4 linked regions of the Nothobranchius furzeri genome follow. The protein of the gene in region 2 interacts with the protein of the main gene of each other region in a biochemical or structural test. Links are inferred from orthologs where the notes say so. Each region holds a gene or a part of one and is shown on either strand. Other genes may lie near its edges.

Region 1 (5,404 bases), on a different chromosome or scaffold from region 2:
CTGTGGTATCATTTAAAGCTGGGTGTGCAGTTTTTGGCCCTTTTGATGTCGATGTTCCTCTCATGTGACAGGTTAGGCTGGGTTTTGTGTCGTGTAGTATTTGGGGGTAACGAAAAGCGACCAACAGGTGATTCAGTGAAGCGTCAGTAATTTGCTTTCCACTCACGGAATCTGTGTTCAAAAAATGTTCATTATTAATTTCTAATAATCCAGGTTTTGTACTTATTTTAACCTGTAAGCAACCTGAACGTTTATTTTAAGCTAAACCAATTTTGTTTTGAAAACTTTTCCTTTTGCAAAAACTCAAATCAGAACAAAAAAGATGAAGACGTTGCATGACAACGAAGTAGGGCATCGAGTCAGTCAGGATGTAGATATAGAACAGATAAACCTTTAGCAGGGCAGTTTCAGAAAGAAACACTTTTGATGCAACATGAACTCTCCGTCTGTGTGAAAGATTCACAAGAATTAAGCCCTTTTTTTAAAGCATCTGGCCAAATTCTTGTCTGTGAAAGATTTTTTAAGTCATTGCCATATTTAGCTAAACACAAACATTTGTGTATTTACTGTAAACCTGAACGTTGAGCTGTGATGTCCCACAGCCTCAGTCTGCTGAATGTTTTAGTATCAACAAAGTACAACTGTCCTCTGCCCCTGGCCAAGTCCCTGTCCTGCTGTTGCACTCAGCCCGTCGGTGAGGGATCAGCCAGTGGTGGAAGCCCTGAGTAGGCTGGATCTCCTGCGAGGCTGCACCTTGTTGCCATGGCGCCACAACAAACACTACATCCTGATAAAAGACTGTGCACACGAGTGGGACTTCAGCTCACAAGAATAGATTACAATCAGTTTTCACCCACAAATATCATGTAATGAAGGCTCATGTAATGAACACACACACACACATCTGTTTTCAAGAAGAATCTGTTCTTGGCTTTTTCACTTAACTTTATTAAAATAGCAAATAAAACATTCAACCTCATCAGTGTGACATAACAAAACAAATTAGTTCCCAAGTCACTTTAAATATTTAAGACACCTGCCGAGCGTCCAGCTCGCGACGCGGAGGGTTCGGTCTAGTGAGACGCTCGCTGACAGACCGGATCCAAAACCCAAAAGTAAAGTTACACAAACAAAAATCCCAAGTCTAGTCCGTTACGATTTAAGACGTAATCTGCTACTGTGCAATAAGATGGACAACTTCCAACGGCTTTGTGATAACCAGAGGAGGTGAGATTGTGCAGAAATACAGTTGAGGTTGTTTCCTCTTAAGGCAGGTAAGCTTAAAAAAAATAAGAGTCCTCTTCGTCGTAAACCAGGGAGGTTTGATCAAAAGGATGGCGTGTGCCTCCTGAGCCTCCTTCAGCGTCCATCCGTCATCTTAGGTAGCACGGGTGTATTTATTTATTTACAAATAATTCACCAACACGAAGCCTCGTTCTGCCTCCTAATAGGGGGATGTACCATATCCTGACCCTCTAAGGATTTCTCTTCTCTTTAACTCACACATTTATTATTTAGCATGTCTGAAATGACAAATGTCTGTAGGGCATCTAAGATTGTGTATTTGTGAACAGGAAGAGCCGTCGTGTGAGGAGAGGAGGAGGAGGAGGAGGTGCCGATATTCTCCAAGAGCTTAAAACAGGCTTAAAACAGGCAGTCTGGTGGAGGTCAGCGTGCACGTGTTGATGTCCTCGGCCTGTGAGGCTCTGTGCAGGGACGGCTCTGAGGCGCTGCGGTTTATCTTGGGGAGAGCGTGCTGGAGGAGCTCGATGGAGGACAGGATCTATGGGAGTAAATGAATGAATGAACTCAACAGGAACATCTGTAATCCTGCCAACAGCTGGAACCAGAGGCTCACCTGAGGAAAGAGCGGCCTTTCATCCTTGAGCTTCTTGATGCAGTCGGCCACCAACCTTTTCATGGCTTTGGGACAGTTCTTGTAGAGCTTACTGAGGTCTGGGGACAAATAGCCTCTTCCCACCATGAAAATGATCTGAACAGAAAACAGGAGACATAAATATGGAGCCAGGAGGAAAACGATCCCGTTTAAAAATCCAGCAGAGGTCAGTGCAAGGGTGGGAGGACAGCTGATCGATGGTGAATCAGCAGTCATTCTTTAGTTACAGTGCGTGCGTCTACGGTGTCAGACACCTAGCACACCAGAGGCAGCTCAGCAGAACAAAGTACCTGGAAAGTGGTCCAGAGCTTTCGTCTCATCTCCATAAGTCAGGCTGGACCTCGTGGCCTGAGAGGACCAACACATCTACACGCGTGCTTTAATGCTCTTCCCTCCCACAGGGTTGTGTTACGAGGACTAAAATTAGGCCAGCGGCTCCACAGAGTCCGCCTGGGCTGCATGGCAGGCCTTAGGCCAGCTCCACAACCCCCTTCACCCCTCCTGAGCTCCACGGTGGGCCTGAGCTCTGACACACGTCCGACTGTGGGCTTACACAGGGACTAAGGTGTTTACCTGATCTCTGTTCGCCGTCTGCGAGTACGGGAGCTCTCCCGTCATCAGCTCAAAGAGAACAATTCCATAGGAATACACATCAGACTGGAAGCTGTAGGGATTATTATCCTGCATCCGGATAACCTCGGGTGCCTGGCAATGACAATAGCAACAGAATCATCACGGAGAGTCTTCCTCGTTCACCGTCACGGTCCCAGCAGGGTTCGAGTAGCAGGTGTCTCACCATCCAAAGAATGGATCCAGAAGGCTGCTCCACCTGCTGGGAGCCGCTCCACCTAGCCTTCACCGTGGCGAGACCAAAATCCCCGATTTTCACCGTCAGCCCCTCATGCAGGAAGATGTCTGCGCTGAGGTCAGGGAATCATAACCAAACACACAGTGGGACGTTTTCATTCACTCACTGTGAGACGTTCAGAGAAAGGATACTGTTGGACTTCATGTCACGATGAATGATGCTCTTAGCATGTAAATAGCTGGAAAAGAGGGACAAAGCTATCATCATCTGATTTATCTGTAACTTGCCGTTGTTTTTTAAGCTTACTCCATGCCCTGAGCCGTCTGCCTGGCAATATCGATGAGCTGGATCATCTTGAAGTTGGTCTCCAGGACGTGAATGTGTTTGTACAAGCTGCTGCCCTCGCACCACTGGGTCACGATGGCCAGGTTGTCCTTCGTCATGTAGCCCATAAACAAAAGGATGTTCACATGTCGCGTTTTCCTGCAACCAGGGGTGGAGGGGAAGAGGAAATCATTATTTTGTAGCTAAACTAAGATTTTAACAGTTAGCTGGTGTGGAACTAGCTGTAACCTTAGGACTGCCACTTCGTTTCTGAACGCCTGGAACTGCTCCGGTGTGGGGTTGGTGACCTTTAAAATCTTCACTGCTACGTCACCTGCAACAAAAATGCACAACTTTGGGTTATTTTGGCCCTACAGGGCTAGTTTGACAAGAAATGATGCATGAAGCTGTAGTTTTTCACGCGTTTAATGAGTCGAAGAACTCCTGAACACATCTGTCAACATCTAAGCCACCGTGTGAGAGGTTCTGACTCATGCTAACTGCATTCCTACCGTGCCATTTTCCTTTGAACACTGTTCCAAAAGAGCCCGAACCGATGCGGGACTGCAGACACACCTCGCTGGCCTCGATCTCCCAGTAATAACTGGAGTCTCTCTTATCCCGGGGCCTCTGCGAGAAGAGAAAGCAAAAAGGTCTGAACACAGAAGCTTCGGCTAACACACACGTCAGAAATTTTGACTCACAATTTTGTTTTTCTCCTGATTGCTGAAGGAGGTGATTTTTTCACGCTGGTGAGGCGGGGGAGCTTTGGACTGGGACCAGCCTGTGGGGCTCTGGTTGGGGGAATTTCCCGCTGTGAAAACAAATAAGTTATTTATTCTTTATTTTGTAATTTTCATACTGCATCAAACTTCCTTCCACTACTTCTGTCACTCATCATTTTGACTTAAGTCACAGCTCAGTGATTATTAGCACTGTTACGACCCCGTGGGTCGTTCTGCAGCTAACGGTTGGGGTAACGCAGAACACCTGATGACCTGGAGTCTTTCTATTAGTAAATTCGGAAGTTTGGGGGCGTCGAGTCTCGGCAAACACCCAACAAACCCACCAGCCTACTTCCAAATCAACAGATTTATTTCTCAAAGCTTTGTTTTGGTTTTAACATCCCTTCTCTTACGCCAACATGATCACCAATGCTAAAGCACTGTGGACAGCTACGGGTGTCTCACCGAGTCTGATTGGACATCACTTCCTTCTAAATGACTATTACATGTGCATGATTAGAAACCAGGAAGACGGCTGAACGGGTACTTACCAGAGTCATGATCACGCATCACATGCTATAGGAAAAAAAACATTATATTAGAATAAATGATCAAATTAGCACAAATGTGACGTGCTACCACTGATGATTTGACGGCTGCATTGACTAAAGATGAGAATGCAGACATGCGCTTCACACAGAGTCTCTGCTTTCTAACCTGTCCTGGACTCACAGGTGAGGTCTCCACAAAAGCCTGGGAGAAGTGCACAATACCTACTTTCCTCTTCAGCCAGAATCTGTGGCACCAGAAGACGGGAGAGGTATTCAAGCAGTCTAGCTGCTCTCCAGTAGGGTACAAAACAACAGACCCACAGGGAGACAGGAGGGACAAAAGGGGACAGAGTCAAGGAAAGAGAGGAAGAACATGTGGATTCCTACCTGAGCAGAAAAAAGGTGGATTATGAAACCACTTGTGAGGTGGTTGTGCAAGACTAAGGATGGAGATAACGCCTAAAGTGGAAGTGAACAAGCGGAAGTGTGGGAAATGTGCAAGAGCATTTAAAACATGCTGAAATAAAATGTGGTCAGAGGAAGAGAGATTGTGCTCAGGTGTAGTAATAATAATAATAATAATAATAATAATAAAGGTCTGAAGCAGGAGTGGACAGCAGGAAGGCCTCAGATGAGAGGAGGAGGACGACATTTTAGGACATGAGGGATTTTAGGAGCTGCAGCCAGAACTTGTTACCTCGATGGTGGTGCTGTCCACGGGCAGGGCGGTGCTGACCATGTGGACGTTGGGCGTGGAGGTGGAGCGCTGCCGTTGGGAGAGACCGCCGCCTGTGGGTTGGTACGATGTGGCGTAGTTGAAGGCGTGGGGGGTGGAATTTCGGTGGGCTGAGCTGTGACAGGATGACAATCGAGCCTTTAGCTAAAAACGACCAAACCAGCAGTGGATGCTTCTGTCGGCCACATCTTCGGGTGAGGGTGTGGGTGTGGGTGAGGTGGCCTCATTAACTCTCCTCAGTCAAGCACCCTTGTTTACGTTGGACTACTGCCACACATTCAGCACCAGAAGCCATTACATGCCTTAGCTGTGTGGTAAACAGCAAAGAGTGAAACTACATTGTTTAAGGGAAGTAGCTAGTGG
Region 2 (3,703 bases):
TGGAACAATCAGTGAATTGTACAATGCCAACAAACCAGAATTAGTCAGTAAAAACTTGACTCTATGTAATACTCCTAAGGATTTGGCAATTTTACCTTTTATGTAACTAATACGGGATTTCCATGACAAGTCTTCAATAAGAACTCCAAGAAATTTAGTTTCTTTTACTCTTTGAATTTCAATCCCATCTATTTCCAATGACACATCACTGTTCTTTTTATCATTAAACAGAATAAAATTAGTTTTATTAAGATTCAGTGTCAATGTATTTGTATCAAACCGGTTTTTAATTTTAATCAGTTCATCATTTATCACTTTAGCCACCTCCTCAATATTTGATCCTGAATAAAACAGTGTTGTATCATCTGCAAATAGAATGGTACCGAGTGTCTTAGATGCATTTACCAAGTCGTTAAACAAAATGAACAGTTTTGGTTCGAGGACCGACCCTTGTGGCACTCCACAATTAATTTCACATAGTTTTGATTTATGGTCCTCTATCTGAACAAACTGTTTCCTTTTTTCTAAATAAGTTTTAACCCACTGATGAGACACGCCTCTTAATCCATACGGACTTAATTTTCGAAGTAACCTTGAGTGATCAATGACGTCAAAAGCTTTTTTCAAATCAATGAAAACATTAACAAAGTCGTTTTTATTGTCAACTGCTGTTGATATTTTACCCACTAATTCCATTATTGCCATTGCTGTGGAATGTTTAGTTCTAAACTCACATTGTTTATTGTTTAAAATATTTTTTTCGATGAATTTATTCAACCTTGATACAAATACTTTTTCCAATATTTTAGAAAACTGTGGAAGCAGTGACACCGGCCTGTAATTATTGAAACTACGTTTATCACCACTCTTACACAAAGGAATGACTTTTGCTGTTTTCATTGCGTCAGGAAATTTCCAGTAGAAAGTGATAGATTACAAATGTAAGTGAATGGTTCAATGACGGATTCCATGATGGTTTTAACAGTTATCATGTCCAGATCCTGATAATCGGTTGATCGTTTGTTTCCACAGTTTTTTACAGTGTTTCGTATTTCTTCTTTATCTACTTTGCCAAGTACAATACTATTGACAGTACTAATCATTGTGGTCAATCTCGCCTGCTGCTGCACGTTTGGTTCCTGCCCCGCTCCTTCTATAAGTCGAGGCACATGCGCTGTAGTGCCACTCCAGCTCAGCGTTCGTGCAGAATCACCGGAGAAACAACACATCATGGCAAATCGACAACGGAGCTCGGAGAATACATCATTTATTTTGCTAAGGTCCCCCCAAAGCCCTCATACATACGAATAAACAGCATCGTGTAAGAATAATAGCTGTAAAACACAGTAGTTTAGCTCTGTTGGACAACCAGAGGTGCGCGTTCACGGACGAGAGGCGTTGGTTTTAACCATAATTAAGGAAGCAGGAAGACCGGCTGATGATGCAATACGTTTTTCCACCTCTAGATGGTGCCTTCTGACACAAAACTCCAGATTTCAGCTTTAAGCCCCCAGAAAACCCGAGGAAACAGGACGCCTTAACATCCTCAATCTGTACACTTATATAACTAACTTGTGTTTTATTGTTAATCCTTGTTGTTTTTATAGTCCTGTTGCTGCGGCGGGGTGGGAAGTTCCCCGTGTAGGGAGCAGTAAAGGGTTATCTTCATTAATGGTGGTGTAAAGGTTTCGACGATGACACACACTTTGTTCTCGGCTGGTTTAGACCGGACATGAGCTCATCTGTCCTCTAGGCAGTTAACCATTTACCCAAACCAGTTCCTCTGTCCCAACAAGGACTCGCCTAGAGCTACAGCCCAGAGGCGTCTCCTCACCCCTTTGTCCAGCAGGCTGTCGAACTCGTCGCTCATCCTTCGGAGCTGCCGGCCGTACTTCTTGGCGGCCCACAGGGCTGGAGGAGCAGACTTTGATCTCCCTCTGAATGGGAACCCCTCTGTAGGGGTCCCAGGCTCCTCCTCCGCCACCCTGGCCAGGAGATCCTCATCTCTGGAGACGTTGGAAACGTGGGACTCCGAGTTGAGCCTGATCCGACCATTCACTGCACGAGAGAATGGATGGTGAAAACACGGAAAGACAACATGTCCACGCACCAACCAAAGAACCGGTTTCACTTTGTAACACAAGACATTTATTTTATTTACTTACTGCACACAGAGAGGGAAAACCTTGCCTGAATCTCTAGTGATGTCCTTAGTGTATTTGTTTGAAGAACAGAAACATGCTTGCAGTAATAATACTGTGGAGCCTCGCTCCGCTAATCCCTTGTGTTTGCTTACACGGGAGCCTGAGCTCAGGCAGGTTGGGGTGTGGGCGAACGCTCTCCTCTTGACCCGCTGACGGCTGCTTCTTCTCTCCCTCCTCCACCTCTTCCGACGGCTCCGAGTCACTGTCTGAGATCGTGAAGTGGGCAGCCATCGTAACATCTGGAGGAGAAATGACGTGCTTCGCATGACTCAAGGAGAATCACTTTAACCTTATAGGCTATCATCATTTTACAGGATCTGTACCCGTTAAGGCTAAATATGCTAAATACCAGCTTGATTTGTGCAGATCTGTAGATTAGCCATCGCCAAGCGCTAATTCATGCTAGACGGAAATCCCACGGGGAAGTTTTTACTTCCAGAATCATCATTTTGAATGAGGCTGCACGATATTAGGAAAACCTGCGATATTCGATGACAATGATTAATATTGCGATGACGATATCACTTGCGATAAATAAAAACTTAACTCAGGAACAAAAATAATCAAAAACAAAGACATAAAAAAGTCATAAAGATGAGAAAAGCAAAAGATGGGAGGAAAGGGAAAAGAAAATGAATAAGAAAAGGCAATCGGTGGATCCCGGGAAAAGCAGAATCAGTAGAAAGAGCAGAACTAAGCTAACTCAGGTGTTTGCTAGCCATTAAAATTAGGTGCCGTCCGCCTCGGGGTCGGGACTCTGACCTATGAGAACCCATCCAGTTGGCCAAATGGGTGAAGTGTTCTCTTTGCTGTGTTAAAAAAACATCAGGCTTCTGTTTGACTGACAGCATGCATCATGTGTAGCAAACATTTGAGCTGACGATATTTATCTGATCTTTGCGATATGCACATTGTGCATGCTGATATCACAATAACGATATATTTATGATATATTGTGCAGCCCTAATTTTGAAGGTAATCATTATTAAAATAAAAATTAGGATGAATTTTTATTAGAGTTGGACCAATGTGAGCTTTTCTGGTGCCGATACCAATATGAAGAGGTGATGATCAGCCGATAGCTGATTAGTCCCATCGATCTGATAACCATTTAAGAAAACGTAACTGTTGAATCTTAATTTATTGCAATTTACAGAAACAAAATTAATAATTTTTTTATAAAGAATTCAACATCAAACAGATAAATAAAAGGTATCAGTTGACAAACATGTTTTAGAGCATTCAGGAACATAAATAAAATTTGGCGCTAACGCCGTGCTGCCCGTGGACGCGCCTGACTTTAAATCAGCTCTACTGAACAGGTGTGTCTGTCTGTCGATTTATTAGAGAGTGGTGGATATCGGCCCATTATAGATCTAATCAGGTCAGATCCCATCAATCAGAAATTGGTATTGGCGCTGAAAACCAGGATCCGTGCTTCGCTAATGAAGCACGTAGATGCAGGAGGAAGAAAAGAGTGAGAAAAGTTGACAGAGGAA
Region 3 (4,983 bases), on a different chromosome or scaffold from region 2:
TTCGTACCTTGAATGAATACTCTAAGCGCACGAGGAATGGAAAGCTGACAGCCTGAAGAATCCTCTTCTCGTTTAGAGTGTGCTCTATCTGCTTGAGCTTCACCACCTGGAGGGCAAACAGAATTAGGGAGGAAGAAAAAAGGTCAGATTTATCTTTGAGGACAATGATAAAAGATGTGTTGGTACAGATCGCGTTGAGCTAAATTTATAATGTTGGGGTCCGCCCACAACCCCACCCACTAGAGCCGTTTCTCAGTTTTAAAGAAAACCACCCGAACCGTCAAGATGTTAGTGGAAAAGAGCCTCTAAGGAGTTCCTCAGGGTTCCATACTAGGGCAACTTCTCTTTAATGCCTTTGTAAATAATACCGTATTGACCCGAAGACAAGGTTTTTTTCATTGAAAATAATTTTAAAATGTGGGGGCGTCTTATAATCGGGGTCTAACCATCACACGCCCGTAACAGCAGAGGGCGCCAGGCTGTATGTTCACAACAGGAAAAGAAAATGGAGACAAGAGATGTGGCGCAGAGTGGACCAAAAGTGGGGCCAGCTGTTTCCTGATTAGAAAAGCCTCTCACTGCCAGCGTTTTCACTGTTTATCTGAAGAGTCACAGAACGTTGCGCTCTACGATGATGTCAACGCCAAAACTACCAAAACAAAGAGCAGACTCACCTCTTACATCAGGAAGAATCCACGCGTTTCGAGCATTATCTGTTCTTTCATAATCCGTTGTCGAATTGTGATCGGCAGAAGCTTTTCTGGTTCGTGCCTCACTTGTTTTACAACAGCGGCCCAAAACGATCTCCTAACACATGGATTTTCTGCTTCCTGATCACATGACATGTGACGAACGCAGATGAAGATCAGCTTTAGAGCTGGGATGTTTTTTCTCACGGTGCGGGGGCTCGCTTCGATGCCCACACAGTAAAAAATTGCAAATGACTACTTTAGTCGTCAATGGCAGCGAGCGGTTGGATTTAAAATGAAGAAGAAGAAAATATAATTTCTATAGCGCCTCTCAAGATAAAAATCACGAGGCGCTTCACAAAAACAAAAAAAAAATGTAAAAATATAAAAAAGCATTTAGAACATGTTTAAAAATATATTTAAAATTAGCAAAAATAGGCAATTGGGATTTAAAAGAAAAAAAATTATGAAAGAGAGAGAGTGAATAGGAAAGAGGGAAATCAGTGGATCCTGAGGAAGATGGAATAGGTGGGGAGAGCAGAATAAAGAGAGAGTGGTGAAGAAGGTCATACAAAAGCCAGCTTGAGCAAGTGAGTCTTCAGCTGCTTTTAAAAGGAGACCACTGAGTCCACTGATCTCAGGCTCAGGGGGAGAGAGTTCCAGAGTCTGGGGGCCACAGCAGCAAATGATCTGTCACCTTTGGTCTTTAGCCTGGTGCTGCACAACCAGTAGGCTTTGATCACTGGACCTCAGGGACCTGCTGGGGGTGTAGGGACTAAGAAGATCACCAATGTAAGATGGTGCTTGTCCATGTAAGGCCCTATAGACCAGAACCAGGATCTTGAAATGAGCCCTGAAGTTGACTGGCAGCCAGTGAAGCTGGAGGAGAAGCGGGGTGATGTGGGTGTATTTGGAGGACTTGGTCAGAAGCCGAGCACAGGCGTTCTGAACCACCTGTAGACGGTTCAGGGAGGTTCTGCTCAGACACGTGAAAAGAGTTACAGTAGTCTAAGCGTGAGGAGATGAAGGTGTGGAGAACTGTCTCAAGTTCAGAGCGGGACAGAATGGGACTCAGCTTAGCAACGTTCCTGAGATGGAAGAAGGAAGAGCGAACAAGAGAACTGACATGAGAATCCAGGGTGAGAGCTGGGTCAAAGGTCACGCCAAGATTCCTGACAGAAGGTTTGGTGTGGGAAGCAAGCTGACCAAGAGAGTCTCTGACTTTGGGAACCAGCTTGCTTGGGGCACAGATGAGGATCTCAGTCTCATCTTCATTCAGCTGAAGAAAGCTCCCAGCCATCCAGGTTTTGATAGAGTCTAAGCAGGTGTGTAACAGCTGCAGCTTAGACATCTCATGGGGCTTAAAGGAGATGTACAGTTGGGTGTCATCTGCATAAAGATGGTAGGAGATTCCTTTGAAGGAGCTCAGGATGTGCTGAAGAGGATAGAGCTAGAGGAGGAAGAGCAGGGGCCCCAGCACAGAACCTTGTGGGACACCATGGGTAAGAGAGACAAATGACGACATTTGTCGTCAATGGCAGTTAATATACTAAGGTAGAGTTTTGCAAATTTTAAGATTCACATAACTCATTTAAGCAGAAGCCGTTAAACATTGCATGCACGAATGTATTGGATGGCAGTGAGGATGACGTTCTGGGAGGAGTCGGTAGGTTTAACAATCTGATGGTACACCAGGACCGCAGCAGAGTGAGTGAGTACAGAAAGACAGAGGGTGTCTAAATAAAAGCCTCATTTGACTTTTGATTTCACATGTCAGCAAAGTTCTGATAGTTTGCATTAAAATAGTATTTTTGCTGTATATTTGTTCTCAAATTAGTTTATTTAAAAAGTCATTTTTTAGTTTTTTCCTGAAGATTAGTCTTGGAAAGGGTCGTCCTACATTTGGACCAATACGGTATTTGCGACAGTTTATCAAAATGCTGAATTCAACTTTTGAGCATTTTGCTCTTCATTTACATCTTCATTAAAACATCCAACCTCTGCAATCTGCCTTTTATGTTGCTCAGTTATGGTTAACACAACTTAAGTTGGTGTTAAATGCAAACCTAACCTAAATTCATGGTCACATCTCATAAATAATTAGGTATTATTATTGATCGAAACTTTTCATTTAAATCTTAGACATAAAGGCTACATTATAGCTTCAAGGAGGTTTCCATTTTGGAAATAAATCTTGTTTCCTACTTCACTTTTTGTGCCTTTATGAAATTTTGGTGATCTACTTTACATCAACACACCTGGCAAATAGAAAAGGCTGGCTGTTTCACTGTGGGGAGAGGAAGCCATTACTGGTTTTTAACTGCCGCTTGGATTTGATCCTTCTAGTGTTTTAATGCATTAAAAAATCAAAACCAATATAGCCTACACTCATGATATTTTATAAAAGTTTACCCCCAGAGTCAGATGTGATTTCTGAATAAAACATTTAAATATGCTGCCTTTGTTTCCTGGGATTACAATAAAAAGGATTTCAAAGGAATGGGTAATTTGGGAGAAATTTAGGTCCATTTAGATCAGTGTGCTTGTTTCACGTACTTGCTGACCAGTTTAAGCACATGGTGTAATTAATTACTTGCATCAGTTGTATATTTGTTTTAGTTTTTTATATTTGTTGCGTTTATACGGCCTTCTTGGCAAGTTTCTTGTAAAAATATATTCTAAACCCCTTGAGATTTTCTACTTTTTGAATAAAGGCTATAATAATATTTGATTTTTTAAATATCTTTGGTTCATTAGAGGGTTCAAACAACATCCATTACAAACTATAAATTGTATTTTGTTATATTAATTCAACACCTTTCATTTTAGTGAAAATGGGATCAAATTTTTGTAGAGCCCACACCTAAAGGATCTACAATCAAACAATAGAGATTCATCAGATAATTCATCCATCTGCTTATCCTCCTCAGGTTTGTGTGGGCTACACCGGCGTGCATTTGATGAGGCAGTTCACAAGTTCACCAGGAGACACTGACAGTCAGCTATTTAGTACTTAGTTTTTCTTTTCATTGAACGTCATGTGGCAGATATATACTGCTTGCACAGGTTAAGTCTAGTAAGGGGAATCATGTACTTTCTTTAAATCTATGGATTTTATTGATATAATGAAAAGAAAACGCATGCACAGTTTTGCTCAAAACTGCTGTATTGAGTGTGATCTGCATAAAGACAATGCCTGCAGATGATACCTATTTTCCTGCTTTTGGATCAGGCTTGCACCTGGATTTGAGTCCTTGCACAAGAATCCTTTACACCCCCTATAGACAGACTTATTAAAAAGCCTTGCCCCACCTCCCTTTCCCATAACCCAGCCAGCTCCTGACCCAGACTGACCTTCTGCTTATTGAGGATCTTCATGGCGTAATGCTGGCCAGTTTCTCTGTGCTTCACCAGCATAACACGACCAAATGAGCCCGTGCCCAGAGTTTTCAACCTCTCAAACTGCTCCAGGCTAGCAGTGTTCTGAAGAAACAAAACAAAAATGGTTAGCAGGTGAAAATCTGACGTTTGGGTTGGGTTATGTTGGGAATATCTATATTCATATAGTGCTAGCAGCATGCTGCATGTGAATCATTTAGTGTATATAAATGTGTGATCTTTAGAAATACACAGTAGATATAATCTCTGACACCTGGTTTACAGGGAGCCGTTTAAAATATTTATTTTATTGATTTTTCACTTTCTTGAAAATTTTGTTTTGTAAACATATTTTTAAAGTAATAATATAAACTTTGACACTCTTTACCACCTACTGGATCATGCAAATGAGGTTACATCATATTACAGTAGACTTAATGAGAAATACACATGGAAACGTGAAAACGTCTAAATATATTATGCAACATGTTCCATTTCTGGTGATTTAGACTACACTGTAAGAAATCTAAAGAATATTATGATACATGGATGTAAGTTATCTGATAATTATCAGGAACAGCGCCTGGAAATTGAAGCCATAGAAATATATGACAACTATTTATGATAAAGCAGTTGTTTGGTTTGCATTTCTAATTTCACCTAGTTTTATGGGATCATTGTCTGTGTGTGTGTGTGTGTGTGTGTGTGTGTGTGTGTGTGTGTGTGTGTGTGTGTGTGTGTGTGTGTGTGTGTGTGTGTGTGTGTGTGTGGACCTTGCAAGTGTGGATGATTTTTTCAAAATCAACAGTTTCAACAAAAAAAGAAGTCAAATTAAATTCTGTGTCCTCACATTAAAGCAACACTAAGCAGATTTTTACACTTTAACCAATCCCTTCAAAAGTGGGGTTCAGTGATT
Region 4 (4,983 bases), on a different chromosome or scaffold from region 2:
AACGTACAAGCACCACCCTCACACAGTTTATAAACGTACAAGCACCACCATCACACCGTTTATAAACGTACAAGCACCACCATCACACAGTTTATAAAACTACAAGGACCACCATCACACAGTTTATAAACGTACAAGGACCACCATCACACAGTTTATAAACGTACAAGGACCGTCCACCATCACACAGTTTATAAACGTACAAGGACCACCATCACATAGTTTATAAAACTACAAGGACCACCATCACAGTTTATAAACTACAAGGACCACCATCACACAGTTTATAAACGTACAAGGACCACCATCACACAGTTTATAAACGTACAAGGACCACCATCACATAGTTTATAAAACTACAAGGACCACCATCACAGTTTATAAACTACAAGGACCACCATCACACAGTTTATAAAACTACAAGGACCACCATCACACAGTTTATAAAACTACAAGGACCACCATCACACAGTTTATAAAACTACAAGGACCACCATCACAGTTTATAAACTACAAGGACCACCATCACAGTTTATAATCTACAAGGACCACCATCACAGTTTCTAAACTACAAGGACCACCATCACACAGTTTACAAAACTACAAAGACCACCATAACACAGTTTATAAAACTACAAGGACCACCATCACATAGTTTATAAAACTACAAGGACCACCATCACACAGTTTATAAACGTACAAGGACCACCATCACATAGTTTCTAAACTACAAAGACCACCATCACAGTTTATAAACGTACAAGCACCACCCTCACACAGTTTATAAAACTACAAGGACCACCATCACAGTTTATAAACTACAAGGACCACCATCACAGTTTATAATCTACAAGGACCACCATCATAGTTTCTAAACTACAAGGACCACCATCACACAGTTTACAAAACTACAAAGACCACCATAACACAGTTTATAAAACTACAAGGACCACCATCACATAGTTTATAAAACTACAAGGACCACCATCACACAGTTTATAAACGTACAAGGACCACCATCACATAGTTTCTAAACTACAAAGACCACCATCACAGTTTATAAACGTACAAGCACCACCCTCACACAGTTTATAAAACTACAAGGACCACCATCACACAGTTTATAAATGTACAAGGACCACCATCACACAGTTTATAAACGTACAAGGACCACCATCACACAGTTTATAAACGTACAAGGACCACCATCACACAGTTTATAAACGTACAAGGACCACCATCACACAGTTTATAAACGTACAAGGACCACCATCACACAGTTTATAAACGTACAAGCACCACCATCACACAGTTTATAAAACTACAAGGACCACCATCACACAGTTTATAATCGTACAAGGACCACCATCACACAGTTTATAAACGTACAAGCACCACCCTCACACAGTTTATAAACGTACAAGGACCACCATCACACTGTTTATAAACGTACAAGGACCGTCCACCATCACACAGTTTATAAACGTACAAGGACCGTCCACCATCACACAGTTTATAAACGTACAAGGACCACCATCACATAGTTTATAAAACTACAAGGACCACCATCACAGTTTATAAACTACAAGGACCACCATCACACAGTTTATAAAACTACAAGGACCACCATCACACAGTTTATAAAACTACAAGGACCACCATCACAGTTTATAATCTACAAGGACCACCATCACACAGTTTTTTAACTACAAGGACCACCATCACACAGTTTATTAAACTACAAGGACCACCATCACACAGTTTATAAAACTACAAGGACCACCATCACATTTTATAAACTACAAGGACCACCATCACAGTTTATAATCTACAAGGACCACCATCACACAGTTTCTAAACTACAAGGACCACCATCACACAGTTTACAAAACTACAAAGACCACCATCACACAGTTTATAAAACTACAAGGACCACCATCACATAGTTTCTAAAACTACAAGGACCACCATCACACAGTTTATAAAACTACAAGGACCACCATCACATAGTTTCTAAACTACAAAGACCACCATCACAGTTTATAAACGTACAAGGACCACCCTCACACAGTTTATAAACGTACAAGGACCACCATCACACAGTTTATAAACGTACAAGGACCACCCTCACACAGTTTATAAACGTACAAGGACCACCCTCACACAGTTTATAAACGTACAAGGACCACCCTCACACAGTTTATAAACGTACAAGGACCACCATCACACAGTTTATAAACGTACAAGGACCACCATCACACAGTTTATAAACGTACAAGGACCACCATCACACAGTTTATAAACGTACAAGGACCACCATCACACAGTTTATAAACGTACAAGGACCACCATCACACAGTTTATAAACGTACAAGGACCACCATCACACAGTTTATAAACGTACAAGGACCACCATCACACAGTTTATAAACGACAAGGACCACCATCACACAGTTTATAAACGTACAAGGACCACCATCACACAGTTTATAAACGTACAAGGACCACCATCACACAGTTTATAAATGTACAAGGACCACCATCACACAGTTTATAAACGTACAAGGACCACCATCACACAGTTTATAAACGTACAAGGACCACCATCACACAGTTTATAAACGTACAAGGACCACCATCACACAGTTTATAAACGTACAAGGACCACCATCACACAGTTTATAAACGTACAAGGACCACCATCACACAGTTTATAAACGTACAAGGACCACCATCACACAGTTTATAAACGTACAAGGACCACCATCACACAGTTTATAAACGTACAAGGACCACCATCACACAGTTTATAAACGTACAAGGACCACCATCACACAGTTTATAAAACTACAAGGACCACCATCACACAGTTTATAAACGTACAAGGACCACCATCACACAGTTTATAAACGTACAAGGACCACCATCACACAGTTTATAAACGTACAAGGACCACCATCACACAGTTGGTCCAGAGGAGAAAGGAGAGGAACAGGAGTACCTGAAGTTGGTTTAGTTAGTGAAACACCTCAATACTAAAATCAGGGTTCATACACTTTTTTAGCTATGGTTTTCCATAACTTTTCCAGGTTTTTCATGACCGTACGAACCCTGTAAAATACAAACTGTTGTAGGTATTGAAGTTTGTTTAAGTTTCATCTGTAGTTTATAACACATGGTCTCCTCATCAGATTTATTCCAGAGGGATTAGAAGAGGATTAGGAGTCCATGGAGCTGGCTTTGTTAAAGGTTTTCATGTAGAAGAACTTTGTACAACACTACGATGATAAAATACATTATTTATCATCATATTTATCAAATATGGTTATAAATTGGGAAAATATATATTTCATTAATATAAAAAGGCATTTAAATTATTATTAAACACTCACAAGTATCAGAAATTTGTACCGCTAAGTACCGGTATCGATTTGCAGGTACCGGGATTGGTACCTTATCGACTCAAATGCCAAAGGTACCCATGCCTAATTACCATCAACTGTAAGAAGATGAACCCCACAGAGACGTGATGCGGTCTTACCGTGGTGGTGCTGGAGTTGTACGCATCAGTGTTTTTATCTGCAGGAAAAGAAAAGACGAGCTCGTTTACTTTTATGTCAGGAGTGATTTTACCAACATTTACCAACATTTACCAACATTTACCAACATTTACCAATTTTACCCAACAGTTTCAACAGTTTCAACAGACAAAAAAAATCATGTTATTTGTTGTGATCAGCTTCATAAACCCTGAGCTGTAACGTGGATCCATTCCTCAAACTTGATGTTGAATTCTGTTTGAGGGTTAGGTCCAGCATCTGAGCTGCTGCTGGTTGTAGAAACTAAAATATTTTCTCCTGATGACGAATCGTCAACTCGCCTGTAAAGCTCATGTACTTCTGACAGTTGGCCTTTTCCTTAGAGTCGTAGAACTTCAGAACGTCCAGGACCGCTTGAGGGTTCTTCTTCTGCTCCAGTTTAGTGATGTTGGACGTCTGCAGCAGCCGGGCCCACTGCTCCGGCATCCCCTGTCACAAACACGCACAAATGCACACACATACGGACGCACATGCGCAGTTTACCTTCAGTTAGAAATACGTGTCACATTAAATGTTCCTGTTCTCTTATCTGGCAGGGTCAGTTCTCCAGCCATCCACCGTCAGCTCATGTTTAATCACCCGTTTTTATTTAAAGATTATTTGCATGTGTTTTGTATAGAAGTTAACTGTGACCCAGAACAATAAAAGAAGACAACACAAACACACTCACAGTGAACTCCCCAGTGACAGCATCAAAACCGACGTGGATGGTGTGTTCAAAGTCAGAAGGAAGAGAAATCTCTGGACGCTCCTTCTTCCGATAAGCTACACATAAAAGAAAACATTAAACTAAAGCATCATGTAGTTAAGCCTAAACACTGAGCGTTTATAATAAATGTCATATTGAATTTCTTACGACAGAAAATCCTTTGGTTGATGAGGTTCAAATAAATAATGATCAGGACACAATAAGAACAAGAAAAGATGGTACGGAGCGTTTTGTGTAGCAACAGCCGAGCTGACCAAAGTTCTTCACAGAAAATATCTAGTTTAAAACCAAGAAGGAACAAAGGGCCAAAATGAATGAGACAATAAAAGCAGTAATGAATCACAAGGGTCAGCTTTTACCATCGAACTGACAGGAACCTTTCATTCACGCCAGAGCTGCAAAGCCAAGGTTACACCAGCTGGAGGACCCAGACGCACCTCCTAACCTCCCAAAATAGCACACCTCAACTCTTATGACCGCATCACTTCAGCAGGTGGTTTCACTTACATGTGGATAACCTTTTAGATGCTTTTTCTACTGACTTTTAAATGGTCTTAATTATACGGGTTTTAGCCAACATGTCACTCAGCCAACTCACAACAGAGGGCACACCCTAGACTTGGTTTGTCCACCCGTGTGCTCTGTAGACTTGGCTGACTATGATCATTACTGCGT

What was found. The genes of interacting proteins can lie anywhere in the genome.
Region 1: of the proteins of badb (region 2) and raf1a, one has a biochemical effect on the other in vitro, tested with the Homo sapiens proteins (2 studies listed by BioGRID). The link is inferred for Nothobranchius furzeri from reciprocal best matches to the Homo sapiens genes BAD and RAF1.
Region 3: the proteins of badb (region 2) and prkacab form a complex in vitro, tested with the Homo sapiens proteins (2 studies listed by BioGRID, with this or other methods). The link is inferred for Nothobranchius furzeri from reciprocal best matches to the Homo sapiens genes BAD and PRKACA.
Region 4: of the proteins of badb (region 2) and pak1, one has a biochemical effect on the other in vitro, tested with the Homo sapiens proteins (3 studies listed by BioGRID). The link is inferred for Nothobranchius furzeri from reciprocal best matches to the Homo sapiens genes BAD and PAK1.

Annotation. Positions count from the first base shown.
Region 1 is NC_091755.1:58,346,771-58,352,174, reverse strand, and holds the end of raf1a (raf-1 proto-oncogene, serine/threonine kinase a), read right to left. Parts: intron 5,157-5,404; coding exon 5,003-5,156; intron 4,592-5,002; coding exon 4,472-4,591; intron 4,331-4,471; coding exon 4,306-4,330; intron 3,844-4,305; coding exon 3,734-3,843; intron 3,660-3,733; coding exon 3,542-3,659; intron 3,364-3,541; coding exon 3,279-3,363; intron 3,189-3,278; coding exon 3,012-3,188; intron 2,944-3,011; coding exon 2,897-2,943; intron 2,813-2,896; coding exon 2,694-2,812; intron 2,603-2,693; coding exon 2,471-2,602; intron 1,994-2,470; coding exon 1,859-1,993; intron 1,784-1,858; coding exon 1,634-1,783; 3' UTR 1,410-1,633; downstream 1-1,409. UniProt on the Homo sapiens protein: Serine/threonine-protein kinase that acts as a regulatory link between the membrane-associated Ras GTPases and the MAPK/ERK cascade, and this critical regulatory link functions as a switch determining cell fate decisions including proliferation, differentiation, apoptosis, survival and oncogenic transformation.
Region 2 is NC_091754.1:60,872,802-60,876,504, reverse strand, and holds part of badb (BCL2 associated agonist of cell death b), read right to left. Parts: intron 2,444-3,703; 5' UTR 2,436-2,443; coding exon 2,297-2,435; intron 2,059-2,296; coding exon 1,835-2,058; intron 1-1,834. UniProt on the Homo sapiens protein: Promotes cell death. Successfully competes for the binding to Bcl-X(L), Bcl-2 and Bcl-W, thereby affecting the level of heterodimerization of these proteins with BAX. Can reverse the death repressor activity of Bcl-X(L), but not that of Bcl-2.
Region 3 is NC_091744.1:6,135,434-6,140,416, forward strand, and holds part of prkacab (cAMP-dependent protein kinase catalytic subunit alpha), read right to left. Parts: intron 4,173-4,983; coding exon 4,044-4,172; intron 107-4,043; coding exon 8-106; intron 1-7.
Region 4 is NC_091753.1:60,596,542-60,601,524, reverse strand, and holds part of pak1 (serine/threonine-protein kinase PAK 1), read right to left. Parts: intron 4,365-4,983; coding exon 4,270-4,364; intron 4,029-4,269; coding exon 3,881-4,028; intron 3,580-3,880; coding exon 3,542-3,579; intron 1-3,541. UniProt on the Homo sapiens protein: Protein kinase involved in intracellular signaling pathways downstream of integrins and receptor-type kinases that plays an important role in cytoskeleton dynamics, in cell adhesion, migration, proliferation, apoptosis, mitosis, and in vesicle-mediated transport processes.